Oryzias latipes: one gene and its partners. The protein of the gene in region 2 interacts with the protein of the main gene of each other region in a pairwise test. Links are inferred from orthologs where the notes say so. Each region holds a gene or a part of one and is shown on either strand. Other genes may lie near its edges.

The links.
Region 1: the proteins of ubac1 (region 2) and rnf216 interact in binary tests that used the Homo sapiens proteins (3 or more experiments, as listed by UniProt). The link is inferred for Oryzias latipes from reciprocal best matches to the Homo sapiens genes UBAC1 and RNF216.
Region 3: the proteins of ubac1 (region 2) and trim2 interact in binary tests that used the Homo sapiens proteins (3 or more experiments, as listed by UniProt). The link is inferred for Oryzias latipes from reciprocal best matches to the Homo sapiens genes UBAC1 and TRIM2.
Region 4: the proteins of ubac1 (region 2) and cpsf6 interact in a two-hybrid assay, tested with the Homo sapiens proteins (2 studies listed by BioGRID and IntAct). The link is inferred for Oryzias latipes from reciprocal best matches to the Homo sapiens genes UBAC1 and CPSF6.

What each region holds. Positions count from the first base shown.
Region 1 is NC_019866.2:19,117,756-19,124,648, reverse strand, and holds the end of rnf216 (E3 ubiquitin-protein ligase RNF216), read right to left. Parts: intron 5,569-6,893; coding exon 5,346-5,568; intron 5,252-5,345; coding exon 5,182-5,251; intron 3,723-5,181; coding exon 3,370-3,722; 3' UTR 3,176-3,369; downstream 1-3,175.
Region 2 is NC_019867.2:2,168,080-2,176,428, reverse strand, and holds the start of ubac1 (ubiquitin-associated domain-containing protein 1), read right to left. Parts: upstream 5,598-8,349; coding exon 5,460-5,597; intron 3,339-5,459; coding exon 3,218-3,338; intron 3,134-3,217; coding exon 3,060-3,133; intron 2,982-3,059; coding exon 2,874-2,981; intron 2,802-2,873; coding exon 2,699-2,801; intron 2,242-2,698; coding exon 2,133-2,241; intron 2,041-2,132; coding exon 1,755-2,040; intron 1,635-1,754; coding exon 1,548-1,634; intron 1,310-1,547; coding exon 1,171-1,309; intron 195-1,170; coding exon 79-194; 3' UTR 66-78; intron 1-65. Other genes in the region: notch1 (neurogenic locus notch homolog protein 1), read right to left, coding at 8,037-8,349.
Region 3 is NC_019859.2:20,974,685-20,982,497, reverse strand, and holds part of trim2 (tripartite motif-containing protein 2), read right to left. Parts: intron 6,223-7,813; 5' UTR 6,178-6,222; coding exon 6,044-6,177; intron 3,882-6,043; coding exon 3,644-3,881; intron 3,504-3,643; coding exon 3,352-3,503; intron 3,231-3,351; coding exon 3,050-3,230; intron 1,742-3,049; coding exon 1,018-1,741; intron 1-1,017. UniProt on the Homo sapiens protein: UBE2D1-dependent E3 ubiquitin-protein ligase that mediates the ubiquitination of NEFL and of phosphorylated BCL2L11. Plays a neuroprotective function. May play a role in neuronal rapid ischemic tolerance.
Region 4 is NC_019881.2:14,389,957-14,398,417, forward strand, and holds the start of cpsf6 (cleavage and polyadenylation specificity factor subunit 6), read right to left. Parts: upstream 4,956-8,461; 5' UTR 4,905-4,955; coding exon 4,845-4,904; intron 2,086-4,844; coding exon 1,876-2,085; intron 1,761-1,875; coding exon 1,657-1,760; intron 398-1,656; coding exon 252-397; intron 133-251; coding exon 1-132. UniProt on the Homo sapiens protein: Component of the cleavage factor Im (CFIm) complex that functions as an activator of the pre-mRNA 3'-end cleavage and polyadenylation processing required for the maturation of pre-mRNA into functional mRNAs.

The DNA of each region.
Region 1 (6,893 bases), on a different chromosome or scaffold from region 2:
TTCCTGTCTCCTGAATGGAGCCTTTGTGTTGAAACATTTATTTTAGTACAGAATGAGCACTAAAGATCAACATGTCTGCCATTCGGGGGTGGTGGTGGTGGGGGCGTGCGACGATGGAGCCTCCGGAGCTGCTCTGTAATCTGCGACCCTTCTCACCCCCACCAGGTCTGCAGTGGAACGCCTCCAGAAGGCCAAACAAACACATACGACCCCGTCTGATCTCCTCTGGCCCCCTCCTCCACCCGTCCCGCTCTCGTCTACAATGATGACAATGTGACCCACATCCAGGGGGTGGGTGCAGCGGTTCTGGGTGAGGGCGGGGCAACTCCAGGGAGGGAGGAGCAGCTGTGCACAAAATGGCAGACACATTAAAGTCACCTCACGCCTTGGCCTTCCTAGCTGTTGCCAGGGAAACACCAGCTGCTGAAGGCAGGGAGATGATTTCGACATCTTCGATGCTCCAACCGAGCATTTTCTAAAAACCGGTGTGGCACAAAGAGAGAGGGATGGGGGGGAGGGGGGTCTTCCAGCATCACTGTAGCCGCGGTTACATGGGCAGAATATCTTGATCGGATCAATGGTCGGGTTAAAATTCACCCGTGCACATGGGCACAGAAAACCTTTTTCCGATTAGAACAAACGTTCCCATGGCTCACACTCTCGTTCGGAATGAATCATTTGGGCATGCGCAGTAGTGTAAAAATCACCCGGATGCGGATATAGGTCCCGTTGTAAACAAACCGCTTCCATATTTATGCAGCAGCTCGGTAACATACGAGACGATCTTCCAAACGTGCTTTTATTAATGTCATGAATATTATGAATTGCCTGTTCGCTCATCGTTATATTTAATCTGTGTGGTCAGTGCTTTTTTTGTGGAAGAATTAAGCTGGACGAAAGCTTAGGACAGACTAACACGGGCTAACATCATTAGCCTGATGGATGGACACAAAATCCAGGACCGTGCGAGAAACGCAGCAATCTGCAGCTTTCTAAGGACTGAGCGACATTTATTTCTGCTCTGAAAGTTCACACAGACCGCCCCAAAGCCACTCTGTGAGCTGGCGCCCCGAGCTCTGTTCGAACACGGGTCCTCCTGAGTCCTGCAGCCGCTAACCCAGAGCGGCGGGACGGCTCGCAGTCTGAATTCTCCCACACATAACAAAACAACAAAACGCACACGTAACCCCCCCCCCCCCCCCCCCCGACACAACATTATTAATCCAGCTGCTCTGCTCACTCGGGTGCCAGTGGACCGAGTGAGCGCTCCTCCTCCGAATCTCCCCCGTGAGGGGTGTAAGAGAGGGGAGAGCCAGCGGGGCGAGAGCGGAGCGGCGCTTTTCACGGGGTGTCCGCAGAGCTGGTCGGTCCCGTATGCGCTCCAAAGCTTTCTCTCAGCGAAACACCGTCTATGCGTGACGTAAACCAGAGCAGCAGTGACACACGATCGGAATGACCGTTTACATGCTCCACGATCGGATAAACGATCGGTATAACCCACCTATCTCGATCGGAAAGAAATTCTGATCCGAATGAGTCTGACCGGGGCAGAGTATTCCGAACGGCGCGTTTACATGACGCATTTTCTTTCCGATCAGGCGTTCATTCCGATTACTTTTGCCCATGTAAACGCGGCTATAGATGAAAGAAGCCGTCTCCGTGCCTTGAAACAACTTTCCTCTGAAGTTTTGAAGTTGTAAAGCTGGAGAGCAGCCCCAATTATCACACTACCACCACATTTGCCGAAAGTAAAAAATGTTGAAATGTTTTCTGTTTGTAGTCAGTTTTCCTGGAGTCTTTGAAATGATTCAAAGTTCTTTCCAGACTGATTAAGGGATTTCTTCTCTTCCATTATCTCCCTCTATACTTGTCATTACTAGCATGAAAGTACAGAGCTCCCACTTAAGTAAAAGTGAAAATGAGCCATAAAACGCCTAAGAAATTAGTCTCACCCTATTTGTGTGTGCGCAAAAGTTACACACAGACACTTATTGAAACTTATTTCTCTCCATAGCTCCACGAAAAAAACTATCTGTACTCCTTCCACTTTTGAATTTGTCTTTTAAAGGGTTTTTCTTAAGAAAATGGCTGTGGTGACATCAGAGGGGGCAGCAGGAGCAGCTGCAATGTGGGCCCAGCGTTGGGGGGGGGGGCAGCTGTGAAGGGTGTGCTCATCAAAAATGTACACAATATTTAAAGATAAAATGCTAAAAATAACAGCCCCAAACAAAGCCGATGGCGGCAGAGCAGCTATAACTGTCAGGGGAGCAAGAATGCTGCCAAATGCCCGCGGTCCTTGAGGAGGAGGAGGAGCAGCAGGAGAGCTTTAACATGCCTTCATCACACATCTCCTCCTGTGTTTGAGGTTATTACAGCTGATGTGAGAGTTTACAGAAAACTTTTGAGTTTGAGAAAAGAAATGAGGGATCCATTAAACGTAATATTTTGAAGATAAATGAACCAAATCCAATAAATCTGAATCAAACTAAATTTTCTATAAATGCAGGAAATATTCCAATTATTAATAAACAGAGTTAAGACGATGGAATTTATCCCCTGGTCTAATCGTGTCAGTTAAGCCCCTCCTTTGTTTCTTTGAAATAAATGAGCTGTAATCTGATAATTCGCTTTAATTCGGACTGTAATCCAAGTCTGATGAGTTCCGCGGTGCGTTCAGGGGCTAAACCAAAACATCCGGAGATTCCACGGCGTGGGCGCGTGATGTTTGTCTCAGTCATCATGTTTTCAGGACAGAAAATGGTTGTGGTATGGGAGGTCAGGGGTCACCGACAGGGGGGCCGCGGGGGCAGTCATGAGGTTTCTAAATTAGAGTGAAGAGCAGCTGCTGCCGCCTCCCAGCATCAGAATGTGGTAGAATTCTGGTCAATCAGGACCCCAGGGCAGAAGCGGGGGGCTGCCCTCCGAGCGGGTGATGGGTCGCACATGGCTGAACAAAGAAGTCCCCTCTCTGAGTCACTGCAGAGCTGGACGGGGGGGGGGGGGGGAGGATCCTGCATGTGATTGGTGGATCGCCCAGAGGCTCAGCTATCATGAGTCAGCCCATTCTGACGGGGGTGGGGGGCAGAGAGACACACTGAGATGTTTTCCAAAACTGTAAACAGAAAACTTTGTTAGAAAGCCCGATGCTTGACAAAAGATCCAGGAGGGGGAGGCCAACCTTTTGATTTATATTTATTTAGACATCTTTTACTGAAAAATCTCTGTAGAAACTGGAAAAAGGCTTCAACTGTCTGTTTAATGCAAACAACTCGAGGTCAAACTGGAACCTGGGGGGTGGAGGGGGGGTCTATAACCTGAAACATACAAACGGAGTGATTCACAGTCAAAACGCAGAACCCAGCAGGGGGGTTAGTAGCGTCTGTAGTAGTATGGGGGGGGCCCATAGTGCATGGGCAGGTCCATGTTGCGGTGACGCTGGTTGAAGGGTGGGTTGTGCTCGTGCTGGTGATTATTGTTCATGGGGGGCAGATGCTGCAGCGGGGGCACATACGGCGCCGGGGGTATGATGATCTGATGGAACATCTGGCCCTGAGGAGGTGGCGGCGGGAAGCGGCCGCGAGGGGGGACAAACAAAGGGGCTTGCACCGCCTGTGGCTGAGGGGGAGCTGCCGGGTTTGGGTTGGGTGGGTTCTCTGGGGCGGGGCCCACACACGGCCGCTTGGTCTCTGGGATGATCTCTGGAGGCGGGCCGACCCTCTTCCCTGCATATTTAGAGAGGAGGGAGGAAAGGATGAAGAGATGAAAGATGGCCGACTTTGTGGCTCACACTGCACTGATAAGAGCAGATCATTCCTGTCCTGGTCTGCAGCGCTGCGGAGTGACAGAACCATTGACTGTATTTGAGAACTAAACTAGAAACTGACCAATCAGATTCCTCCATAAAAGCATGTGGTCTCTTATTGAATGCTAAAAAACTTTCATCAACAGATTTCAAGTACCCTGTTTTCAGTGGTAGGGGTGTAGCTTTTAAAAAGCTCATTCCTGATTGGTGAGAGTGGTTGCCATAGAAATGTTGACTCAGGCCGACTCGGACCAATCACTGCTTACTGACGTTGTCTGGCTCCAATATGGCGGCGTCTGTGTTCACTTTATTTTGTTGGAGACGGGTTCTTTTCTATGGGTGGTGTCACGCTCGCTTGGAGCAGATAGATTTTAGGAGGCGTGGCCACTTGTGGTGTCTGATGAGCTGCTTCCAACAACAATAACAGGCTGTTTGAATGTTTCTGTCTGTTATGTGTTGTGATAATCCCAACACCTCCAGATTAAAAGACCTGCAACAGAAGCTGCTTGATCAACGACGACACAATATTAAGTTTTGGAGACGAACAATTTTAGGCTCTTGCCATTGCTGATATTTGAATTATTGTTTTCATTCAATAAAAACATAGAACATATTCAAAAGAACTGAAAAAAGTCCACTAAAAACTAGGTCAGAAATGAAACAAAACAAACCGCAATTCCAAATCAACAATATGGAATCAACCAGAGAAGACCTGCTTTGAGATTTCAGCTTTCTAATCCGCAACACAAAAGAAGAAGCTCCGCTCAGAGTTACTCATCAGATTTAGTGATTTAAAGCGATATAAAGAGTTTAGTTATTAGCATGTTCTTTATGCTATGGTTATGGTAATAATTATACTTATGTTGCATGAAGCTAAATGCGGTTAAGGCAGTGAAGCACTTAAAATCAGTCTGTTCTTCTTCCCTTCTTCTTCCTGTATTTTGTTACATTTCTCCCAAAAGTGTGACGTATGTTCGATATTTTCTTCTTTTATCATATTGGCTGATGCAACTTATCCTCCGGAACAACTTTAGTCTGAAAAAATACAGTTTTACTGAGGCGCAAACCCTTTATGGTGAAAACAGGAAAACTGACGTCTAAAGACGCTGATGTGTTTCTGGTGTCTGCCAAGACAGAAAGGATTTCACTTTACATGATAACTTTTGTTTGCAAACGTCTGCAAACATGATGCTGGAAAGGTTTGATCCCGCAGAAACATTTCATAAACTCTGCATCAAAAGCTGCAGTAAAACCTCTGAAGCTCTGAACTGTGACGCCGTTCTGGATCCAGAACATCAAAGCAGCAGCAGAGCATGTCTGTAAGCGGTTTGACAGGAAGAAGAGGAGGTTCAAAGATGGAGAAAATGGCTTTTCCTGACCTGCACACTTCTTACTGAGCTCTGCTTCTCCTTCTTTCTGGATCTCCTGAATGATGCGCTCGTCGTCTTGCTGCAGAAAAACACAGAAAGCCGCATCATGGTGTCATTAAAGCTCCTCCCCTTTAGCTTCAGTCAGTGTCAAACATGCACAGAGGAGGACGCACCGTGGGGTCGGTCCAGAGGGAGCATTTGTGGCAGTGGCGGCAGGGGGCCCCGGGGGAGCGGGCGTGCTGGCAGAAGTGGTTGTAGCCGGTGATGGGCTCCCGGCAGAGGTAGCACATGAAGCTGCCGCAGCGGCAGGACATGCGGTTGCATCCCTCCGATTTGACCAGGCCGGTGCCGCATTTGACGCATTTCCTGACACGCGCCGCCGTCATGCGCTCCTCGCTGCAGGAGGAAGGGAAAGCAGCAGGGTTAGGGGGTTGTGTGTGCATCAACCCAGAGAACTCGTTTAGGTTTGTTCTTCAGCCTCTTCAGAACCAGAGGAATGTGTGAAAATCCAAACTCGGCTCTGCTTTCTCTTTGCTAACATCAGATGAAGCTTCAGTCAGACTCTTCTTCACAGGTTTATCTGAGTTGAATAACAGCAAGTTCTCACTGAGAAGTGGGTTTTTTCAGGGGTTGGTCAATGTTTGAAGCGGTGATTTTACAAATAAAAGAATGCCCTTTAATAACTTTCAATATAAATCTCCAGTTTGTTTGTTCCTGATAATCCGATCTCCTATTGTTTGTGGACGGATGGACCACCTGGACCTGAATGCTGTTGTGATTCCTGCTGGAACCATCACAGCTCTGATCTGTTCTCCAAGCTGCTTCCTTCATCTTTCAGCACCGGGAAGTAAGATCCTCTAAAAACAGGAAGTGCTGCCGCTGCTCCTGCTGGGCGATAGATAGGAAGCAGGTGAGCCTCCGTCTTCCTGGTTGGTTGTCCGGGAAACTGAGCTGTTTATACATCATCCCACCTACTGCGGATCTGCAGCCGCTTTCTGATTTAAAGAACCACCCCGATGAAAATCACGTTTTTGGTATTTAGAACATGTTTTTGTGGCGTTTTTATGATTATGGAGACATAATGGGACATGTATAGACATAAATTCAGCTTATAATTGCATTTCTGAGAATTTCTTTATTTAAATCATTGTGAATCAGGAGCTGATGAAAAAATGCAGTTGGAAAAAGATTTTAGTTGAGCCACAAAAAAACCGCTGGGCAGGCTAGAAACTCTCTGCCTTGAGCTCTCAGCAAAAGGAAGGGGAAGGGCCGTCCACAACTCAGAGGCACATTTCTAATGAACTACTGCCGCTCTGCAGAAACCGTCACAGGTTTTCGGATTTTGGCTGCAGCATAATCATAAATAAAAGACCACTGGGAACGCATTTACAATAGATTAAAGGATGATTGGAGTGGGACTCTTAACAGAGGGTGGTGCAGAAATGCCTCGTCCCTGACTGCCTAAACAGAACTGGTTCTGACAGGAAGAACTGGATCTGATCCACTTCCATGTCCAGGGGATGGATTTGAAAGTGTCAGAAGTAAATGTTACATTTTAATGGAAAAATAGACTAACATTTACTTTTTTCTTGAGTGTCAATGCTGGCATTATCAGGGGTGTGTCTTTTTGATTGGCAGGTGTTCGCCCCAATGGTCATTTTTGGTCCTTCAGGTGAGCGGAGTAGATTCAACATGCCCATCCCACTTTAGACATTACCTCG
Region 2 (8,349 bases):
ACACACAACCATACAGCATCTCAGTGTGATCACACACACACACACACACAGACACACAGTCCCACCAGGCGGCTGGCTCTATGTGCGGTTGAGTGTCTGGAAGATTCTGGATATCTGGAGCATGACCGGACCGGTCTCCGGGTCGTTCATCCACTGGGTGCTGTTCAGTGGGTTTTCCAGCATGTCTTCAAAAGCTGTAAAAGATAAAAACACGCTCACTTTCTGAACTGACTCACTGTCAGCTCTTGCTTATTCAGATCATGGCTTGTATATAAGAACTGGAACGAGCGACCTGGAGCCAGTAGGAAGTACCTGCTGGCTCCAAGAAGTCAAACTCCCAAAGACTTCTACAGAGAAATAAGCAGCTGTTCCTCCATCGTGACATTTTGCTGTAGCTCCAAGTATTCAAGTTATAAACTGACCAATCAGATGCCTCAATCAGAGTGGGCGGAGCCACACATCCAACAATCAAAATGGTTGAAAGATTTCGTGTACCTGGTGGTAGGGGCGTGGCCCTCCATCAAGCTCAACCCTGATTGGTGAATGGTTGCCATAGAAACAATGACTCAAACCAATCACCGCTGACGTTTGGCTTCAACATGGCGGTGTCCGTATCAAAAAAATAATAATAATATTGCGACTGATTTGGTTTTATTGTGGAAGTATGAGTGATGTCACGCTCACTCGCTCCAGTTCTGACATACAGTCAGTAGTTCTGATCAGACCTAGAGTTCACATTCATCGTTTATTAGCAAACAGGCTAAATAAATTAGCCTTTTTGGAATCATCTGGATGGAAATGGATTATATCAGAATAAAGCTCTGTCTTTTCCTTTTTCCCCAAATTTAGTAATAACCCCAACTGAACTTTTCCTCCTTGTGAAATTTTTTTTTTTTTTTTTTCGGTGTGAAAAAGAAAAGGAAAATAAATATCTGCGAAATGAAATGCATTTTCTGCTAAAGTGTTCCAGAGATTTTAAATAAAGTTGTGTTTTTACACAAAAACCTCCCGAGGGATCGATTCCCTGAGCGGTTTAATCTGAAGCTGATCAGACGCCCACAAAAAGAAAGCTAACGCTAAGCTAACGTGTTTAAAAATGCTTTCAAGAGAAACTGTGGCAAAAACACAGATCATCTAAAATTAAAACCGATCAGTGGGATTGGATGATACCTAGCAGGGTTTTGGGATTGGTTAAGCCCAGCTGGACGACCGGGTTTTCCAGAATCGCTTGGAAGAGCGGGCTGTTGGTGTCGATGCCTTTGTCCAGATCTTCAGGAGAAGGTTTTCGGTCGCCCAGCAGCCACTCGCACTGCAGGAAGTCAAGTGTGGTTAGAATAAAACAAACCGGTAAATCTATACACACATATCCTGAAACATCAAACGTTTCAGCTGGAAGCAGCAGCGTCTCTATCAAACACTGAAGAACAGCAGCTTTCCATGAGGATTCTCTGTTTGACAGAGAGTCAACTTCACTTTTCTACTGAAATGATCAGATCTGATGTGTGTGAGGGGGGAGGAGGTGCAGTGACATTGTTGTGGATACATACAGCAGCGTCCTGTTGGTTGTTGTTGACCCTCAGAGCATCAATCACCTCCTTCTCACCAAAGCCCATTTCCATCAGAGCCACGACGGCCTGAAGGGGAAAAACAGCAGCCTGAACGGGAGACTAAATCCACAGACGACTGAAACTATGAATAAATACAAGATCCTGTCAAAATAAAAAAACCTTTTCAGAGAGCAGAGACTGTCGTACCCTTGAATCTGGTCTGAACTCTCTTTTCCTGCGAATCCTCTTGAAGATCTCCGTGAGTTCGTCCTGCCTGCTGCTCTCGTCTGAGCTGGACTGGCTGCGAAGGAGGTTACAGCAGGCGGCGGCGGACGCTGAGAGTGCCGGCGTGGCGGCCGCTGCAGCCCCGGTCGCAGCTCCCGACGCGGCCACCACCGCCGCCCCCGACGACTCCTGTCCCGGCAGCGGCGCGTCCACAGAGGGGTCGTCCACGTGTTCGATGAGCCACTCCATGGCCTGGGTCACCGACATGCTAAAGCAGAGACAATCAGGACGGTGGTCCAGCCACACACAGCCACTCTGTGCTACAAATGCGTGTTTATGCTGTTCAGAAAACAGAATTACTGGTTCAGTCGGAGAGCTTTGATGGCTCTGCTCTCAGGGAAACCCATCTCAGCGAGCTGCTGCAGCGCCGTTTCATCCACGCGGTCCTCGTCGTCTTCATCCAACATCGCTGTGACGAAGAAACACCACCTTTAGTGCGCATATCACTCTCAGTAAAACTCATGAATGGCGAGCAAAAACTGCTGACTGAACAGTTTCAGAAGGAAAACGTCGGCTCAGATGTTCAAAGGACCAAATTCAGGAGAACTGACCGTCCGCGGCGTTCCCTGCTTCCTCACAGGAGTTACCGTTTAAAATAGCTCCAAGCTGTCATCTTTGATTTTTACAAAACCGACTCCCTGCACACTTTTTCACACGTTCCTCTCTTGTTTCAAATCTCAAAGTTCAAACCTTCGTAGAAAAATACGTCCAGGATTTTGGAATGAAGGCAAAGATCTGAACCCGATCAAAGATTTATGTACATTTGGGAAATGTTTTGTTCTCATTTAAAAAGACTTTTCTGTCTGAAGTCACATTCTCCAGCAGCAACATTAGTGTACAGGCGTGACAGGAAGCGTCCGCCTCACCGTTGGCTTTCTTGAAGAGCTCCACAGCGTCGGGATTCAAGGCTAGAAGCTTCTGAGCAACTTCGATGAGAGAAACCAGGATTTTCCTCAGCTCGGTTTGAAACTGGAACAAAGAGCGGAAGCGTAAGGCGGCGGGCGGCTGCAGACCCGGAGGCCGTGGAGTTTGAACGCTCACATCTCTGATGTTGTGCTGCGTGACGGTGCGGTCCGTGTGCCGTGTGGGTAAGCTGGCGGTCGCTTTCAGGATGGCGTCTTTGTCTGGAGCTTTGGTGTCCTGTTTCTTCTGAGAAGAGACGAACAAAAAAAACTGCTAATAAGGAGCTTAACATGCGGAGCCTTTTCATAAAAAGAAGGCGTTTACCTTTTCATCTGAACCAACCTCTGCCGTCTTCGGAGGCGTCGGCGGCGGCCTTTTCTTTATGAGCAGCAGGACCTCTGAAACCAAACGCACAAAGCAGATAAATGATGGGAAGTCAGCAGCAACGGGAGCGAGAAGGTTGCAAACGTGACGCCGCGTACCTTTGTCCTTGAGGTTTTCGTCAGCGACGGTTTTGGCGTCCGTTAGGACTCGCTCTGTAGCAGCGTGGATGAGCTTGTGGTGGGTGAGAGTTTTGGGGTCTTCTAGACTTCCATGAACGTACTGCAAAATCAAACAACGAAAAAACAAACAGAAGAAATCAAATGTGTGTATCTGTTGAGTACATGTATATTTGTGTATTTATCATTCTAACCTAAAGGGTCAATGGCGTCTTCTTATATAGCGCTTTATCATTACAATAAGACCCAACGCTCTTTAGTCACAGAACTACTGTTTATTATGTTTATTACCTTTTCATTCAATGGACAGTAATTATTCTGTTAATATTTTGATTTACAACAGACTTTTCCTAGATTACTGTATTCCACATATTGTGTGCACATTTGTGTGCATGTATGTCCGTATAGTTTTTGCATCTTGACATCTTTAGTCTCATTGTTCATGCGGACGGTGACAATAAAGGTTTTCTGATTCAGTGGCAGCAAGTTGTGGAGGAAGTCAACTCCAAGCTGACGTTGTCTTTTCAAATTAAAAGCATTCATATCAAAACGCTGCTCAAAATGTTGTTTAAACAAAAGGAAACCCAAGCAATTTTTATAAGGTGTATTTGAATATTACCTCATTGGTTTTTTGATTATTTTTTAATGATTTTGTTTTCTCTACACCATGTTTGTCATAGAAATAATAAATAAAAACTTTATTTTTTAAGGTGCTATACTGATCTTTAAAGAAATTAAAGTGTTTTTTTTACTATATTGCTTTTTAATTTATTCTCCAATTTTCTTATTATTTATGTTTCTGTCAGGGTAACTAGGATTGAAAGTTTCCATTTTACACAAACTAAATTGACGGTTTTTGTGGAGAAAGTAAAACGTACAACGAGGATCATCTTTCAAACTACATTTAACTGCAGCGTTTTAGCAACAACAACAAAACGTTTAATAGGGAATAAAATCAAAATAAGAGAAACTAGATTTTTTGGCCAAATCAAAACTTTCTCCAATAAATTTGTCAGATGAGTCGCACAACTAATAAGTAGCACATAAAGCACAAATAAACCACTAATAAAACCACATTCTCTATTAGAAATTTTAAGACTGACCCACAGAATAAAAAAAATTCTTTAAAATCTTCTATTTTGTCCAAATAGTAAATTAAAACAAATAACAATTCGTCAGATTTAATGTTGGAGCTTGAGAATAAGTTGTTTTTCCAACACTTCTATGATTCTATATCTTTATTTAGGTTACACCTTCTCTGACGTCCGTTCATAGCCATAAATCCAGGACTTCATTTACCATCACCTGGAAAGGACAAAACAATGACTATATGTTTTATAAATTCAGGTATGAAGGAGTTAACATTCAATATTTTCTATTATAGGATTTAACTCACCGATTGATTATTCTGTCAGTGTTTCTTTCTTGTATAAATGTTTGATTGATCAGGCTTGTGGTATTTTTACTAACCAACACTGTTTTATCTTCACTAAAACCCATCTTCACGCAGTGACAAAGTTTTTCTGGATGCTGAATTCTTCCAGCAGTGAAGCTGCCGTTACCGTGGTTACCGTGATCAAAGTTACCCATTTACCAGCTGCGGATGTCGGTCGTTTTTGTCTTTTTCCTGATATTTTCTAAATGTTGTTTTGCTCTCATTCATTTGATGCAACAACGAGATTTAGTTACTAACTTTAAAAAAAAAAAAAAAAAAAAAACCTTTCTTCACCTGGAAACAACTGTTTGATTTGACATAAATATAATCGAGTAAAAGTCCAAATTCTCCAGGAATAAAAAGTATAAATAAATAAAAACCAACGTTTTGTTCACCGAGTGGAGTGAATTTGAATTAAATAAAAGTTTCTTTCACGATAATTCAGTGGGTTGGATGGGAACCCAAGAGGAGTCAGTCAGCACAGAAGTAATAGGAATCTAAAGTATTAATAAAGGAGAAATAATAGACCCCCGTTGAGTTCCTGCCAGGGCCATATAAGGAGAGGAGAGGTGAGCGGGGTAATAATAGAGCAGGACAGAAAAGGACAGTTTAGCTGCAGAAGCTGCAGAGAAGCTGCCAGCCTCTTCAATTATAAATAGCAGAGTCTACCCAGTTACTATAAATACACAGCTGGAGACGGTTTACCCCGAGGGCAAAGAGCAAACACCCCGGCAGGGCAGTGACACGACAAAACAACAAAGTAGCCCAAACAACCTCCAACAAACCTACATGTTTCAAGCACTTCTCCTTCAGTTTCTCCACCGTGGTGTCCTCCGTGACTTCCTCCAGCCACTCCGCACCGTCCATGGTGCAGATGTGGATTTTCAACACTTTCCCCGCGAATATTTTCTCCTCCTGGACGAACATGGCTGCCGCGGTCTTCGGGGCCCGGCGACGCTGGCGAACGAACGGCGGTGGCTGTCTGCTCCCCTCGGCTCGTCCCAGCGAGCTAGCCTGCTAGCCTGCTAGCGCGAGCCCCCAGCTAGCCGCCGTGGGTAAATCCACCAACAACCGAACGGCACCGATCAGCTGGCGGTCATCTTCGGACTCTCGGACCGGCGACAACCGAGGGACGAGCTCCGAGGCCGCCAAGCTGTTTGTTTTTTGCCGCTAAGCACACAGGGCAACAACCAGCGAATATCCTATTTTTACTGTAACGTTTGAACTCTGACCCGCAACTGTACGAGTGCTGGTGCATTATGGGACTTTGAGTCATTATTTAATCTGGACTTGTTTAAGACTGTTATCGAATTTATTGGAAAGAAAGGTTAAACGGGAATCAATTAACATTAATTAACAGTAGTTCAACATTTTTAACTATTTCAACAGCACCTCAGCTGTTTTCAACATTATTTAAACACTAAATCAACCGCTTTTCAAAATTTCAAATAGTCCTTTTACATCATTTCACCTGTCTTCAGCATCCTGTAACTGTTTCTGAACAGTATGTTTGCTGTTAACACAACATTTCAGCTGTTTTTACACTACTTTAGCTGATTTTCCAGCACTATTTTCATTGTTTTATTGTCAAACAGGATTTCAATTGCTTTTCCAACTGTAGTTCAACTGTTTCCCCTGTACTTTAACTGTTTTTCAGAAATTTAAACTTTTTTTAAGAGCAATTCACCTGTTTCAACAATACTCTAACTGTTTATGATCAGTCATTAAACTATTTCAGTGGTGTTTCAATACTGAGTCCTTCATTCATCTGCATCTGAATTTTACTTTATTTTTACCAGAGTGAATAAAAGGTAAATTGTGGCTTTTAAATTCATGCCACTAGATGGAGACATGGAAAAAATATCTTCACAGAGGAAGATGAGGAGAAAGAAGATAATCTGTGAGTCTGTAGGTTTTGAATGACCTTTAGTTTCTTCGGTTACCTGCAGGTCCCGCCCACAAAATGGTGATTTAAAATATCAATTTGACTTTTAAAATAATTTAAAGATACCAATAGTCATATACATTTATCAATCACTAATTTTAACAGTAAATTTGATTTTTTGCACGTGACAACCATGAAATCTTTTAATGAAAACGGATTATTTGCTTTGTTCATTTGCAAATAAAAATTAAAAAAAATAAAAAAACGACAAGAGTACACAACGTCAACTAAACACTCATTTAAGTTTCTTTTAGGACTACAAAAACCCCAAACTGATCACTTTGAGAATCGCAAGTGCCATTTATTATAACAAGACATTTTTACAGGATAAAAATCAAAGTAAAAAACATTTCAGGAAAAGTCAAATTTGACAAAGAAAACAAACATTTTGCTGTTTTTTTTTTTTAACAGCTTGGATTTTTTTTTGAGAGAATTTCACAAAGAACATCATGGAGAACTTCACCAACAGTTTTCTCAGTGATTTTATGGTGATTCACAACTTCATATGAACATTTTAGAACCATACTCTTTATCTAATCAAATATATTTAATCTGCTTCCTTTCAATTTTTTTATTTGCATTGGGGGTTTTAATATACAAAATATATATTCTCCTATACTTTATACTTTAGAAAGCTACTGTTGGTGCAAATCCCATCCAATCCACGTCCAAGTATTCGATTTCTTAAACAAAATCTTGCTTACGAGGGGAATTTGAAGCGTATTTACAGAAGGAAAAACAGCCATAGGCTCAAACTAACCGGAGGGATGGAAATACGGCATTTCCTGTTTCCTCTTGGGGGAAAAAAACAAAAAAACACACCAACATGGCGACCAACGGGCCGGTTCTCCAGCGGGACTTAACACAAGCCTGCCTTCACTGCCAATCTCCAAGATGGCCGTACTCTGTACAACGTATCACATCCACGAATGCAATAAAAACGAATGGCTGCTCCACCCGTCCGGCAAAACAAAAAGGGAAAAGAAAAAAAAAACACATTCTACTCAAATTCACAGCGAGCAGCAACTAATATTTCCCGACATTGTAACACTGAAACTGAAAAATGTGCTCTAGTTGAATCAGGGTTTCAGATCATACAAAAAAAACAACAAACAAAACAGGGATGAAGAAATAATATACAAAAAAAGCAAAGACTACAAGTTTTTGAGAAAATAAATAGCCAGTGTGTAACGCTGCCCCCTCCAGGCAGAAGGAGGTACTACAGGAGCAGCGACTGGACTAACGCCACAGGCGACAACAAGCAGGCACATAAATAATAAGGAGACATTAATAAATAAAAAGTAAAAAGGATGCAGATGTTGTTAGTATAAAAGATTATAAAGTCCTATTAAATCTTGTTTCCAGCTCGGTTTTATTTAAAACTATACAGCTGCCCGTGCGGGCGTCACACTACCAGCCTCCTATTTGAACTGCTCTGGTAGGTGCCCCATCTGAGACTGCATGCTCGTCGCTGGACTCGAAATGCCCTCTGACCAGTCGGACATGTTGGAATGAGGAGACGAGCTGGACCACTGGTCCGGGGAGCCGGGGGACGGGGTCAGAAAGGGGTTGTCGGGAACCTGCACCTGATGGTTTGGAGTGTTGTCCATTGGGCCTGAGTAGCTGTGCTGGGAGGGCGGGGTCAGGAACTGGGTGCTGGGCATGGACTGGTTGATGGAGGAGGGCATGATCTGGTTCTCCTGGGGGAGGATGGTGTGGATGGGTATGCTGGAG
Region 3 (7,813 bases), on a different chromosome or scaffold from region 2:
AAGGAAGTTTTTATTATTATTAAAATGAGTCAAAATCCTTTTGCTCCAAACTTTTGACATAAAAACTTGATTTAAAACTCATATTGAACTGTGATTTTTGGTTCAGGGTGTTATTTTAGAGTTTAATAAATGTTGACAACTTAGACATTCACTGACATTAATTTGAAATCAAAAATTTAAATGCATGTTTTTTATGAGGGTTTATTAAGATGGGCCAACTTGTACTAAGATTAGATTTTTATTTTGTTCACATTTGTTCACTCATTACAGTTTTTTTGTCATAGTAAACAAAATGAATTACCCAAAGGACATAAAAACTCAGAAAATACAAACTAGCAAAAAAGATTTTTTTAGTGAACCATAACATTCAATTTGAAGTAATCCTATGTTTTTTAGGTTCTTTTTATTCCTTTGTGAATGGAACTCCTTGTTCTCACATTTTCATAGTGTTCTTGTTAAGTACAATTACATGCTGCATGGACCGATAATTTTACCATCTAGTTATTTTCTTCTCATGTTTAGTGTTCTTTTACCATTTTTATGCAACCTCCTTTTGTGGTGGAGTAGCCAAAGCTAGGAACTCTATAGGATGCAACCATTCTGGGTGCAAAATTAAAAGACAATGTAAAACAATTTACTCGCGAAACCGCAGTGATTTGTGTTTCACAAATGTCCAAGACATGCCTTGTAAAATCTGGATAGGAATTTGTTAGTGTTATATTGCCAAAAATGTCTAACATACTTTACGTACTTCACAAAACTCAACTGAGAAACGTTCAAAATAGGTTTGAGAGACACCAACTCTGATATTTTTTTTGGAAATGGTTGAAATTATAGAGGCGCTTTTTTATGGAGACTTAAATTACATTTAAAGGGAAACAAAGCGGTTCCTATAACACATTGGTTATGTGTCCCTGTGTTTTTTGAGTTATTGTTACACCTTAACTTACTGATGTTAAAAGTTTAGTAGTTATTTTATTTTACATAAATAGGTGGGCTGTGAAATGTTCTTCTTACCAATTCTGAAGATGAGATCATCCTCAATAGGGTTCTCCTTTCTCCGTCCTGAGCTGTACATACTGGCTGGCCTCTTGATGGCCCTCTGCTTAATGTGTCCACTACCTGGAGACTTAAGCCTTTTCTTTGTCCCATCAGATTTTGGGCAGGCATCTATGGACTTGATGGCTTTAATTCTGAAGGGGCTTCCTTTGATGTGCTGGTTATACAGGCGCAGAGATAGGTTAAAAGTGCCCTCTTTTGCAGCAGTGAAAATGTACTCATAAGTGCCATTTTTGTTGTCCAGTATTTCTCCAATGTCCCTGCTGTTATCAGGTGGGGAGATTTCAGTAGTGATGAGTGCATTTCCCATCTTGCACAACTCCCCATCCTTGTCCTTGGTTGTTATGGTGATAGATGTGGGCACTCCCACCACACAGTGCCGTAAGCTTTCACCTGTTGCCACCGTTTCAGATGCCACAGCATTGGTGGTTACAATAGTTCCCAGATTGTGGATGGACTTCTTTAGTCCCTCTGTTTCCACAAGGAAGTCCAGTTGGTTATTCTCTTTAGGGTGCAGAGGCAGCTCCTGGCTGGCCAGCTCCATGAGACGCTCACCCATCTGCTTCTTCACCAGGAGCACCTCGGCCTCTGTGCCATGGTTCAGGGCTTGCTCTGTGAAGTTGCAGCTACTGTTAATGCCCTCCTGCCCCTGCAGCAGGGTATCCAGCTGGGCTTGAAGCACCTGCACAAGAACACACCAGTTGTATGCTGTTGGGTCTAACTAGTATAGTTTATGTACTTCATCACTAAATTTAATACTGTAATTATTTTATTTATAATTTATTATTAGAAACTAGTTGAATTTTCTTTAAGTCCACATCTTACAATTTAAAAAAAATGGGCACAGTGAGGCATATAGTATTTGTTAGTTACCGATTCTATAAATTGTCCTACTGAGAGGTCTGTAATGTTCATCATAATTACACTTCAACTGTGAGAAACAGAATGTAAAAAATACTCTAGGAAGTCCTCCTTTGCCACTTTAGCTATTTTCTTCCATGCAGATCTTCTCCAGAGCTGTGATGTTTTTGGGGCTGTTGTTGGACAATTCTGACTTTCATCTCCCTCTGAGGTCCAGAGTCTGGCTAGGTCACCCCAGATTCTTGAGATACTTTTTATGTAGCCACTCTTTTGTTCCCCGGCTGATGTGGTTGAGATCATTATCCTGTTGGAAGATCCAACCACTTTTCATCCTCAAAGCCATCACTGATGGAAGGAGGTCTTAGCCTAAAATCTCACCATACATGGTCCTATTCATCCTTTCCTTAATACAGATCCATCGTCCTAATCTGCAATGGGGTCTGTGAGAAACAGAATTCCTGTTTGTTTGCAGATGCTAAATTTCTATTTCCTGCTTCTTTATACAAATACGTTAGTCTAAATTATGCAATTCAACGTGATTTCCTGGATTTTTACGTTCTGTCTCTTAGTTGAAGTGTGATGACTTTAACAGACCTCTCTCATCTTTTTTAGAAGGAGAACTTAAATAATCTGTGACATTCAAACACTTTTGTGTATTAAACTATAAACAGGTTGTTGGACAAAGAGGAATTATGTAGACATAGATGCAATTGCAGCACATTTCATAAATCCTAGAAAACAATCAAAGCCCTACTGCATTCTACTGACACACCCAAATGTTACTGAGCACTAAACTGCATGATGCACTGGCTTCCCCCATGGGCACCGGAGTGGTCACGACACACTAGTTAGTGAGTTTTAAATCATTAGCTGCCCATGTGAATAAAATCCTAGAGGGACTGACAACGCTCTCCTATGCCAATAGGTAATTGGATGGTTGGTTGGGGTGATGCATATGCTACCTCAACTCCTCTTGAAAGTGGTTAACCACCTATCAAATGAGCAGTGTCCCCAATAAACAGGGTTAAGAAGACCTCAATAAACTAAAAATGAAACAGAGCTGGAACAGTCCCCACAAGAAACAATATAAACCCTGATCTAAATATCACAAATACTGTAAGTTCTTCACCTTCTGCTTGAGACCATAGTTGACCTCCAGCTCCATGAGAAGGACACTCTTGCGGACATTGAGAGTCTTCTGAAGCTCATCAAAGGTTGTGTGGATGTCATCCTCAATTAAGCTTTTCTGATTTGTCAGTTGTTGCAAAATCTCTGACAGCATGTGCAAAGCTGAGTCGATCTCTGGTAACCTGAAAGAAACACGCAGAGGTTAGATGTCATGCAACAAAGTCAGAAAAAAAAAGTAGGCCTGACTTTGATTCACACATGGCCAGTGAATACTGTGGTGCATTGAAACATGTCCATTTGTACCTCTTCTTGGCAACGTCAAGTTGGTCTTGTAATGAAGCCTTGTGTTGCTCAACGACATCCCTGAGAGGCACAGTAGGGTGTTCTCCGTGTTCGCCACTTGTGCACTCCTGACACATGGCTGTCTCACATGGAGGACAGTAAAACTCCATGACCTAGGTTAGAGGAAAAGAGGAGATTACAAAGCAAAAGTTTGCATTAAGTCTGGACTAGTACCAACGAATATACTAAATATGGAGAAACTTCTCGTATGTTTCAATTTGATTTTTAACTAATTGGAGGTAGTGGTTCTTACACTGCCTCCATGGTTGGGGCAAGACAGCAGTTGGCCTGTTGCAACACAGGCGATGTTGTTAAGAATGGTGTCCTCTTGGCTGCAGTTGTCTGGCGCCCGCTGCAGCACATCCATCAGGTTGGTGATGAAGAAGTTGCTCTGCAATGCCGCCACACCTTTTTCCGGCAGGATGGAGGTCTGGCGGCAAACCGGACACGACAAAGTGAGGCTGTGGGCCGGGATGTAGTTTTGCAGGCACCTAAAGGTGGGTGGAGAGAATACCAAAGAAAGCATGAACAAACAACAACTTAAATGTGTTTCTTTCCTTATTGTGAATGATCAGAAATTGAGGCTAATGAGCAACTTCACACCAAAGGTGAGCCAGCACAGAGTACGCGGCTAACTTTGAGTGTCAGAGCTGGTTGCTCCAACTTGCTTTACAAATCAAAGCAACCAAATACCTCAAACCAATGAAACCAGTTTTCATGTAGCCTCTGTCAGTGAGTGGGCAGACTATATGAGGGGAGATGCTGATTTAGCTGTTGAAGTTGTGTCAAGAGCACCAAGAGGGGCCTTCTGAGCTCTACTTTTCTTGTATTGAACTATTCTTGTGAAAGCCCATAGAAGGAGTGTACCTAGTGTTAGACTTACATTGGTGTCCTCTAAATGAAAGTCTATCACTGATTTGTACTTCTTATAGTTTGGTGAATGGTTTCCATAAACATCTATCTTGGACTTTTCAAATTTTATTCTTGCCCCGCAGCAAAAAAAAAACAGTCCTGTCTAACTATTGTTGTCCATCCATTTTCTATTATTATTCAACCATTATTGTTACAAAACCTTTTTTTTTAACTTACGACACATTTTGTCACTGCAAAGTTCAGTTCTTTCTTTTTCAGGTCCAATCTATTTATTTATTTGATTTATTATGCAGTTTTTGTGCATTATGGAACCTTATCCTGTTTTTTGTCAGTTCTTTGTAAAAAAGGACAGTGATTTTGTAAGCTCAGAGGTATAAAAAATATGTTCTAAGAGCCTTATTATATACACTAAAATAATCACATTTCAAATTAGGCTTTAAGATACAAGAATATGTTGCCATTTAAATAACTTTATGATCTAAATTGATTAAAAAGATTTTCTTATTTGCTTAGATTTCAATTTTACAGTTTTTCTCAGTCGCTTTAGTACAATTCTCAGATAAGAATCAAATTCCCAAAACTATTTGTTCAATCTTCACATCATGATGTCACTTGTGCACATCATATAAGCAGTTTCTCACTTCTTTGAACAAGTTGCATTTGCTTTGGTACATACATGCAAATGATAATGTACAATTCTCTGCTCTTTGCTACATTATCAATTGTTTATGTCATGTTGATCAAAATGTATTATATAGTTCACTGTGCAATAGTCTTACTCCTCAAAACACCTAGTCATTAGTTCATCGTATAAGTCATTAACTGCAAAATGGTTGACCAAGTTGTCATAATGTGACAAACATATTTCGCTGCATTGCAAGAGAGGATATTCGCTGTGATGTGGATGAGAATTTGTGGCCTAACATACAGGAACGACAAGAGGTGTAGGAAGACCACACCAATTCCTACTGCACTGCCTGTACTGTTGTACAGAATATTGTCCTATCTTTCTTTTCCCTTTGTGTTACTGTTTGCAGTGGGTTTTTTCTATGTTGGTATGACATGGTCTGTCAACAAATTACAATATGAACAATAAAAGTGTAAATGTGAATCTTGTCCAGTCTCTTGCAATCAAACAAAAAAGGTGTAACTTCCATTTTACAATAATTGTCATCAAAACTTTAGCCATAGTTTACATCAGAACCTCCCTCTAAAGTACACAGTTATATTGACAACATGACTAAGTAATTTGACTGTCTTGTTCGTAGACAATGACACAAGGACTTGACATTCTGATGGCACTGACATGTTCAATGACATAAAGACATAGTTTTCAGAGATGAACTAAAGATTTTGAGCAAGTTACAGGCTTTTGCAAGAAATCCATAGTGTTTTGCTGTTTGTACAAATTGTTATGAGAAATGCACACACGTATTTGCAAACTTCAATTCTGATCTGAGAATTGTACTAAAGCGACTGAGAAAAACTTTAATATCAAATTACAGATGCACTCTGGTAGAGTGAGTTTTGAAACATTTGGAGCACAGGGGTGATGCAAAATGCAACCAGAGTAAAGGGAACATCTGAGCACATCAACAGTTTCTCCTTTTGTGTCAAAAACAAAAAGCAGTCAACGTAAGAGGATGAGACAAACAGCAAAGCTAACGCCACGTCCTGAGGTATTAACACCCACATTAACTCCAGAATAATGTTTAAATCCCCCAAAAATGTAGAAGAATCCTCCCTGTAAAACATGTCAGAGCTCAGTGACTCCACTCACCTCTCACAGAAAGTGTGCAGGCAGGGCAGGACTTTGGGGTTTTCGTAGCGGTCCAGACATATGCTGCAGATCAGGAACTGCTTGTCAATTTGGCGGAAAACAGGACTGGGAATAGAGGAGATTTCACTGGCCATCCTAAAACTCGGACATAAGAATGCCTCTTCTTCTTATCCTGCACCCTAAAGAGTGACACGGGAAAGAAAAGACGTGAGGAAAAAGCTGAAAGGCAGAACTCACGATCAAAGGGTGATCATGTCATGGAGATGAGTGATGTGAGTGATGAAGATCAGGTTATAAAATTAAAAGAAAACACTATCTTGCTTTAGTCTCTGATTGAATGCAAATAAGTGAACCAGGATACAACTGAAGGCTTTAATCTAGCTGTGGTGCTGACTCACAACAACAGTTTTGTCTAAAGTGATCACAATCTGCACCAAAGTCACAAAAATGGTACATTTTTTAAATAAAAACGCTAAAAACAACCACAACATTTTGAAATCAGTTTTTTTCCCTTACAACAAGGAGTTAGCAAAATAATTTCAAACTGTTTTTCTGGTTTTGTGGTAAAATACTTTTTGTACTTTAAAGGTTCATTAAAAAAGAAAACTTTGAGATGTTTGACATCTTAAAGTAAATGTGTCTAATTAAAAACTGAAGAAATTTACAAAATGTTTCTCAAAAATACCTTACAATTTGCTTTTTTTAATTAAAAAAAAAATCATATTTCTTGAAACGGAGAACTATTACTATTGTATCATGTAAAACGTTCTTTCTCTTCCTTTATAAAGATTATACTGAGCCCCTAAAGGGACATAAAAGTTATAAATGAGGACTGGTTTCTTGTGCACACAAGAATCTAACTGGTGGGAATAGCAGTAGTTGTTCAAAGCTGGTGTATCCCATGTGCCGAAACAAACCACATGACATGAACTTGTTAAGTTTTCATCATGCAGAAAAACATTCCTTCCTTTTAGCCACCTGTGCACTTTTTGTCAAAATCTTTTTTTAAAAAGCTGTTAAAATTGTACTTTAATGTAGATTCCCTTGCGTATGTGTTTTTATACAATAATGCAGATTAAATACAGTCAGATTGAAATAAATTATACATATTTCCACTAACTGGATATTTTGCAGCATCTTAGACTGTTACTTCAAATAGGTTGTCTTGAAATGCTATAAATTTACTATGCTGTCTTTTATGCTGTCTTCTCCTGATGTCTGCAAAATATATTACGTGTGCATTTTTTTCACTTCTAAAAAGGTTCAAGAGTTGATAAAGGCTTGCTTCAAATATCCAAAATTTAATTTAAAAAATATATTTTTCATTAAAAACAGTTATTTGGATCATAAATTGACTTATTTTTATGATAAAATTGAGACATTGAAGCTACACTTTAATAAAAACAGATGTAGACTTATTCTGTTGTAATGAAAGATGAGAACAATCATAACTGTTAACAGCAAAATCTTCGTGACAAATCATTTTACAGTGTGTCAGTGTTCAGACAGCATTGGTCTAATAATATTGAAAGAATATATTTTATAAAGTCATAGCTGTACCCCCTTGGCTTGCTTTTTGTCAAAGTTTTAGAAATGAGGTCATTTGTGCCCTGAGAAACAGTAAGATACTGTTTACCTCTTCACTGCATTGTCTGGAGACGTCTTTGAAATTGATGCAAAAAAAGTCGAATTATTGACTATTTCACCAAAAAGGGATCATTTGACATAGATCAAACAGATTTCCATCAAACTTACTATAAAAAAAGCACA
Region 4 (8,461 bases), on a different chromosome or scaffold from region 2:
AACGATCTACTCCAGAACCAGGTGGACCAGGATACCTGCCTCGACCTCTGTTGCCCATTGAGAATCCGGAGCGATGGCCTGAACCAGGGGGACCAGCTTTACCTTCCCCTGACATCTGACCAGATTGAGTACCTAAATAAATAAATAAAAGGTTTCAAATGGCTCAAAATTCATCAAGTTGCAATATATTTTCATTTGTAGCAAATTAAATAGATTTGTGAAAATCGTAAGATGAAACTGGAAATACTTACTTTTGCGTGACTGCATCTCAAACTGGCTTAGGGATTGTTTATTGCACGGTGTGACTATAGGATTCTGACCATGAAGCTCTCTCTTGGACAACAGGTCCATCAGTTTCCTGGATGATCCCTCAGAACCAACACACACAAGAGCAAACCTGAAGGAAACCAGCACAAGACACCCTGTCATAAGTATGCAAAGCAAAAACATCCTAGTTATAAAATGTTGAACTCATGAGGCCACCAGGTTTTGTAGTTGTTCCACATTTGAATCATCATCCTCACAGTGAAGTTTTTTCACACAAACAACATCCACGCAGGCATCCTCTGATCCATACGTCATTGCAAATGCAAGGTTGAATACACTAAGCGCAGACGCTTTGTGCCATCAGAAAGACGCTACCAGCCCCGCTGTGTGCCAGGTCCCAGGCGGAGGACATTCTGCGCCTGCAGGACCGTTTATTGAGGCTGGGCAGGCATGCATGCGTCCTCCATTGAAAGCGAGACAGAAACGCCAACTCAGGCAGCAGTGTGTACAAGCACGCACTTCAATAGCCCTGCCCACAGAGCAGGGGCCGCCCTTCGCTCAGCCGTCAGTAAGCCTGCTGCGCTTTGGAAATGTCCTGCTATTACACAGTGTCAGCATAGCATGAAACGCGATCGTCGCTGCTATCTGTTTACATAATAAACCGCCTTATCTGTTCAAATTGTGTATTACTATAAAAATAATATTAATACACACAACAGAGCTATCTCCTCACAAAGATTTGTGTACTCTTACGGTGTAGCTTTTGAATAGACAGAAAATACTTTATTTACATTCATCCATCCATCCATCTAGGTAGATCTTTTGGAGCTTGTCTCAAAAGTAACTCGCATGCCAAAAAAGTGTGGGCACCCCTGGTGTAAGCTCAAACCGGAAATCATCAAACTATATAATGGTACGGTGGACAGTAAGCATCACCTTAAGGGTTTTGTGGTGGCACAACTTTAATTACTTCTGTTCAAATTGTCTTGAGTCTCGTCACAACTCTGAAAATGAATAAACTCTGCGCGGTTTAAACAAAATGCATACAATAAATTGCACATGACATGGATTCCTATACATATGAATGTATAATAAAATAAAAAATACTCTGACGTCAACACATAAATAACACACGCTCTCTTTGACATACCGTAACTCTTTGGCCATTTACGTGATCAAACCGAATCGGCTGATTCTGATCTGGAGAAAAGCAGGTTTTCATAGAGGATTTGCACCGATATGCAACACATCATTAATGTAAAGTGTTGCACATCAGCGTAAGGCTGCTTTTTCCACAGTTGAAGAGTCACGGTAATCCAAAGAACGTTAACATTGAAGCTAAAGCCTCGGTGTAAAGAGTTAAACACAAACAAAAACTACTGTCCTCACCCTTTTGACTGGCCATTAGCCCTGTTTTCAAAGAACTTTATCTCCAGCACATCTGTAATGCCTACTGAACGAATGGCTTCAGTCAGGTCTTCATCTGTTGTCCACTGTAAAAAAAGAACAATAATAAAAAGAGACAAATTATCAATACTACTTTCTTAGCATTTAGTCGAAATTGACAATGAAACTTCTAATTATTTAATTTGAATGGTTGAAACCCACCCATGTAAGGTTGCCGATGTACAAAGCAATCCGTTTGCCTGTATAGGTGTACACCACATTGGGTGGATTACTCTTCCCTCCGTCAGAACCGCCAGATGGAGGCATTGAATCCATGTAGTCCCTGTCTTCTGGAGCATCTCCATTATTGGCAGATGGGGATATCACATCATCGTACAAGTCAATCTGCTCGTGAACTGGATACTCCGATTCCTTTAAAAGAAAAATGAGTTAACACAGTTAAAGCAAAACATGTGGGGTTCAATTCCACAAGAACCTGAAACTGTGGCTCAACGTTTATAAAAACTGGGGATGTAGAAATGCATCTTTTAAGTGAAAGATATTATGGATGGATATTATTTTTAGTAATGTACAGGGGTGTAACGATTAATCAACGAATCGATTTATTTTCTTACGATTGAAACAGATGTATCTGTCTAATCTAAGGTAAGTTGCTTATCGAATTGGCAGTTTGCCACAACTGGGACGCAGAGGGAAAGACAGTGGCTGTGACAACATTAACCACTTGGATCTGTCGCCTCTTTGCATCTTTCGGGATTAAAAACAGTGACAATCTCTTCTCACAATGAGCTTTTGTCACCCCTATGGGGCCAAAAGGAAATGGTCCATTCAAGCAGCGCTGTTACTGTGACCCCAACCACTTTTATAGTTTCACATAGGGCTGCACGATATGAGGAAAACTCGCGATATGCGATATTGGTGATTAATATTGCGATAACGATATGATTCGCGGTATATAAACAAACAGCAAAACAACCAAAAACATAATTTCCATTTCACTGCAACAGTTTAAAAATTATACTCCAAATGACCCTTGTCGACATAGGAGGCAAACATCAAACATAAAAGGGCTCATCTGATTGATCAACAACGTAAATGGGTCCTTCCGATTGGTTAAATGCATAAAGGGATTTATTTCATTTGTTCAATATTTCAAGCTGCCACGAGATTGTTTTAGCACATTTAAGGTAACCATTTATTGCGATTTTCGCCGTCTTTTGTGGTATGCATATTGCACAGCTTAATGTCGCGATAACGATAAATTTGCGATATATTGTGCAGGCCTAGTTTCACACAATGTACGTTACTTTCTGCCTTTATGAACGGGTGATTTAAATGATTGTGCACTGCAGGCAAAAAAAACAAGTTTGCCACGGTGACGTAATGACCCTGTGTTTTGAAGCTGTTGGCGGTGAGATGACAGGTGGGGCAATACGATGAGCGCATGCATAAGCGGGAAACGCGCTAAAGGTTAATGAATGCACAGCCGGTTTTTTAATTATATTTAGGATGTCACAGCGACTGCCATTTATGAAGTTATAAGCTCAGTTTGTTGATAATACCAAATAAGGTCAGATTATACCCTGACTTTTTTATGTTCTGACAAATGTAAATGTGAAATGAGAAAAAGTTTTAAAATGAATAGTACAGCTGATCGCCACTCCATTTACTGGGGGTGAAAAAAAATGAAGAATGTCCAATTGTGGAAAATTTATATTACTATAATTAGCATTCTAAGGTCAAAGTAAAACATTTACTTTTACATGCAATAAAAACACCATGATAGATTTAATTTACATGACGTATACAGTATGATGTACCACAAATGCTGTACTTTTTGTTTCAAACTAACATAGTTTTAAGTTATTTAAGTTCACTTTTTAAGTTTGGCCTATTTTCCTTGTGCAATATTGTTATGAAAGAACGTCTTTGAGGTAATGCCAAAATGCCTGCTGTTGGGAATTAAATACATTTCTAGACATATTGAACTTTTTTACATTCTAAATTTCAAAATGGCACTTTATGTCACAAATGCTGTTGACCCCTAATCTATAGAAGTTTACTGCATATCACCAGACGCTTACTTAGCTCCCTGTTTTACTGGAAATTGCTGCAGCTATAATAAAACATGGAGACCAAATAGTGCTAGAGAGTTAGTCAACAAGAAGAAGCTGAAATAAAAGAAATTACACCAGAATTTAAAAGTAAAAATGGTTACTAGAAAAAGCAAATTACTATAATAAATTGATTTAAATTAATTAAATTCCAAAAGCATTTTTTTCTCTTTATTTTATGTCACGCTTTATGAGGAAAAAAAGAGTAGTAAACTTAAAGAAATGTTAAAAAAAACTAAAACATGACTAATAATTTTTAAGTCACTGGCTCTTAATTAAGTTTAGCTAAACAATTTTAATAAGAAACAAGGAAAAAAAACATTTATTTTTAAATGTTTAGCTCCGACAGTATAATACCATAACAAATTCTGTGCAAAACAAATGTCAGTAAGTTATGATTTTAGTATGCGGTCTAAAAAGGGGGGCGCGGTTTTTAATGTGCGCGCGCGCAAGAATAAAAAAAAACACCCACCATGCATGATGACCCAACCTGCTGCCAGAATGGAAGCCGTGTAACTCGTGTTTTCCCCTTTTGTTTTTATTTTTGACGTTTTTAAAAGTACACCAAGTTACATTTGATCCAAACTATAACCCACGTCCAATACAGTAAACCAATTAAACGTGTGAAGTTAACCAACACCAGCTAGCTTATCATGAAATGCGTGTTTGGTTAACAGCCTCCGTCGGGAGAAAAAAAAAAAAAGAAAGCACACACTGCGCGGCCTATACGCGCGCTCCACTGAAAAGGCTGCTAGACGCTTTGCTGATGGACAAAAATGTACATATTCTAAATAATAACCCACATCACATTTACCTCCACATGTGTACTACTGTTTGAATAAAAAATGCAGATCTATTGTACAGAAGTTTGCTATCTATGCTGCAACCAACGCAGCACACTGACTGACAGAGGCCTGTGTGTGTATTGCTAGTGGAGAAGCTAGCACGAGCATCAAATTACACCTATTTTTCCTATAACGCCGAAAAGACCATTGCAAAAATTAGAAAAAGAACTTCAAAGCACTGAACAAACTCGAGAATATTTTATTTTAATACCTGATTAAATTCCTCTTCTACGTCGGCGTAGATGTCGATATGATCCACACCGTCCGCCATTTTCCTCTGCTTCGTGCCTCCGTCCGCCTGGCGGTGCAGAGGATCGGAGCTACAAACAATAACTCCGGGAGATGCATCAGCGCCCCTGCTGGTCGTATTCACTAACTACAGCCTGCTCTGCTGGGAATGACGGATTCATTGATCATCTGCATTTCACTTTAAACATTCATACTACTGAATACGACATCTATAAAAAATATAAATTATTCTGTTATGTATTTTGTAATTACGCATTTAAAAGAGGAATTCAATATCTATTTATTTATTAATAAATGATTTTCACAACAATGGAAATGCAATTTCTAAAAGAACTCAAATAGATAGAATAGATCACGCTTTTTTCTACGTACAGCTGTGCACCTGCCATTACTGTTTTGTTGATTGAAAATTTCAGCAAATTTGACACAAATCGCTGGAAGAAATGGTCTTTTAATAAAAATTGTAACAATTCTTGACAACAAAGTTAAAAGTGAAAATAAAAAGCAAAGTTATGTGTAAAGAGAAGAGTGAAACATGATCTCCAACTATATAGTTTCCTGTGTATTAGGTATTGCTGTAATTATACTATAATATTTTTTTCAAATTAAAAATATAAATATTTTAAGACGCCCAAGTGGCTGGGATAGGCTCCAGCAGCCCCGTGACCCCGAAAGGGAATAAACGGTTAAGAAAATGAATTAATGAATGAATGAATATTTTAAGTACATTGACAAGACACAAAACATTCTATTTTGGTGTATTATTTGTAGACTCACATTTTACACTATATTAGACATTTTATCAATAATGTCATATAAATAAATTTAAATCTGGCTTTTGATCAACATTTGAATACTTACTCTGATGTAAAGGATACAATAATAACTATAACACATAGGATTTTACCTTAAAAAGTAATTTTGTAAAACTTTATTGGAAAATAAAGTTTTATTTTTTGAAATCATCTGTCATTCACAATCCAATTTGTTGAAACAACCACTGCTATCATACTATATCTTTATAAATTTACTGCTCATTTATATGAAACTATAAGTTTATAAATAATAGGTGAATAAAAGGAGACAAACAGAAATGACACACAGTCAAAGTAAATGTAATAAAAACAACTTTGTGGATCTTTTATTTTATAAATAATGGCTTTAATCCATGTAATACTTTCATAAGAACAATTTACAGGTTTGTTTTACAAAGGAAAAAAACAGAACAAAAGAACAAAATCACATTCCAAGTTTTAGCTCCTCCTAAAAAAAATCATAAACATTTCATATATATTAGATTTTACCTCTGTCAATAACACAACCAAAGACAACAACAACAAAAATAATAATTTCAGTCAGACCATTTTAAATGTTTTAGTTAAAAAGAATATAAAAAAGGTAACAAATATATTAGAAGTAAATCTTTTTAACATGCAAAAATGGAAGAAAAAAAGAAGTTTGAAAAAAAGAAGCGTTCAGTTAAATCAATATAAAAATACATTGTAATTTATTGGTAAATAAATCAACATTAACAAATGTTATTATCATTAGATAGATACCATTGTGATTCTTTTTTCTTTTAAAGTTGTTTACTTATTTTTTTCAGCAGAGCATTACAGATACTTAAAAAAAAACCTGAGGCAAAATGTTATGCAAAAGAAAAACTTTTTTTTGCTTTAACTTCAAGAACAATTTAATTACATGGTGAAAGTGCACAAGACAAAAAAAGGCAGAAAAACGTTTTAAAATTGTGGCAGGTAAAATGTAATTAGTCTTAAAACATGTAAAAATTAGGGATAAAAGTATGACCCTTCCAACTTTTAACTTAAATATTTCTGATACCACTCATATAAGACATTTCTGACTGGGCCTTCATCTAGTCTGCTTTGGTTGATTCATCAAACCCCTTTAAAAAATGCCCTGTGATACAATTTACCAACTCAAGTTTCTCTTCACGCTAACTATTTTTTCAAATGCAACATATAACAAAAACAGATGCAGTAATGTGGATCTTGAAGGCTGAAGTGCATATTTGCAAATGCGCTCTAGGCCTTGCCTGTGATCTTCAGATCAGAGGAAGATGGAGACGGACAACTGGAGATGTGTTGCACTCTTGCTCTAATTACTTATGCTGCAACTTGTGACTCACCATTCCTTTTAAAAACAGATGCTGTAACCTTCATCTTTTCAGTCCATTTTCAATCTGTGACTCAAAGGCGTGCAGGAGTGAGTTTGCTGGAAAGTGTCCATGGCAACAGCAATCCATTAACTTGCTTTACTCGGTTGTCATTCTTAAACTTACAAAATATAATGCTTCAGAAGTCCAAGACTTTTTTCCTTTTTTTTAATGAGAGCAAGAAGACTTAAAAACGTTGTAAGAAAGTTGTCCATCATCAGGAAATTGATCCAGCAATGGAAAGACATAGCAGGAGGAGGACATATGACAGTGAAATGACAGATGCCCCTCCACAGTCGTCTGCATTCTCCTGCAGGACCCAAGCAGAGACACAATTTGATTAGAACTTATTGCAGGTTATTACTCAAATCAACAAGTTGCTATTTAATACTTTACAAATAACATATAGACAAAAATAAAAAGATAAGCACGAGGATATAACGAGTGGAAAGCTTACCTGCGGATGATAAGAATGACAGGACTCAGGGCGTCTGCGAATCTTCTGAGACCTCATTCTGTCACACTTCACTGATGCATTATGTTGAACAGGGTCAAGGGGAACAAAAAACCAATAGCGTCTAGAATTGGGCATTATATAATACACATTTTTGGGTCATAGTAAAAACGTAGAGGATGTAAGAAAAATCCATATTCTTCCTGAGATCAATTGATTTTTAAAAATGTATTTAGATTTTTCATAATGTATATTAGATACCCAAATCAAAGGATATATTTGACTTCTTTGGGCTCCAGGGTTATGGGCGGGTACTGCCTGGAGCAGTCACAGTCTGCTTGCACAACCAACATCAACAGGTTGCTCTCTGGGATCTGTTGCACTACAAACATTCTGACACAAACAGAATAAGTGCTCTTAAACAGCATAGAATAAATAAACTTTATTGTGCGTGTCTTTAGACTTAAGGGTCAATGATGACTGAAATACCATATTTTTCCACAAGAGGGCGGTCATACTCAACACAATATTTATGACCAGTATGCTTTTCCTATCCACTTCCATTTGAATCCAGTTATTTTCTCTTTTTTTCTGCTCCTTAAAATTTACCTACTACTCTGTCTCCCATTCTCCCAATTTCTCAATAACCCAACACTTACCTTTCTCTTGATAAAACATTCAAACAAACAAACACTGCTCAAATAAAGCAGAGGCACTGAAAATGTGTTTTAAAAATATAATTTAATGCGGCTTGCAGAGGGCCATTTAACTTTTTTGATGTTCATAAAGTGTACACAAGTGTGTGCTTACTTCTGGCATCGTCCACACTTGATAATGCTGTTGGTCTCTTTGACTGACGGCTCATAAATGAAGCTGGGGTACTCAGTGTCACATGGCTGCAGGATGTCCACTTTTTTCTTATGAACATAGGCTAATGGAGAAACAGACA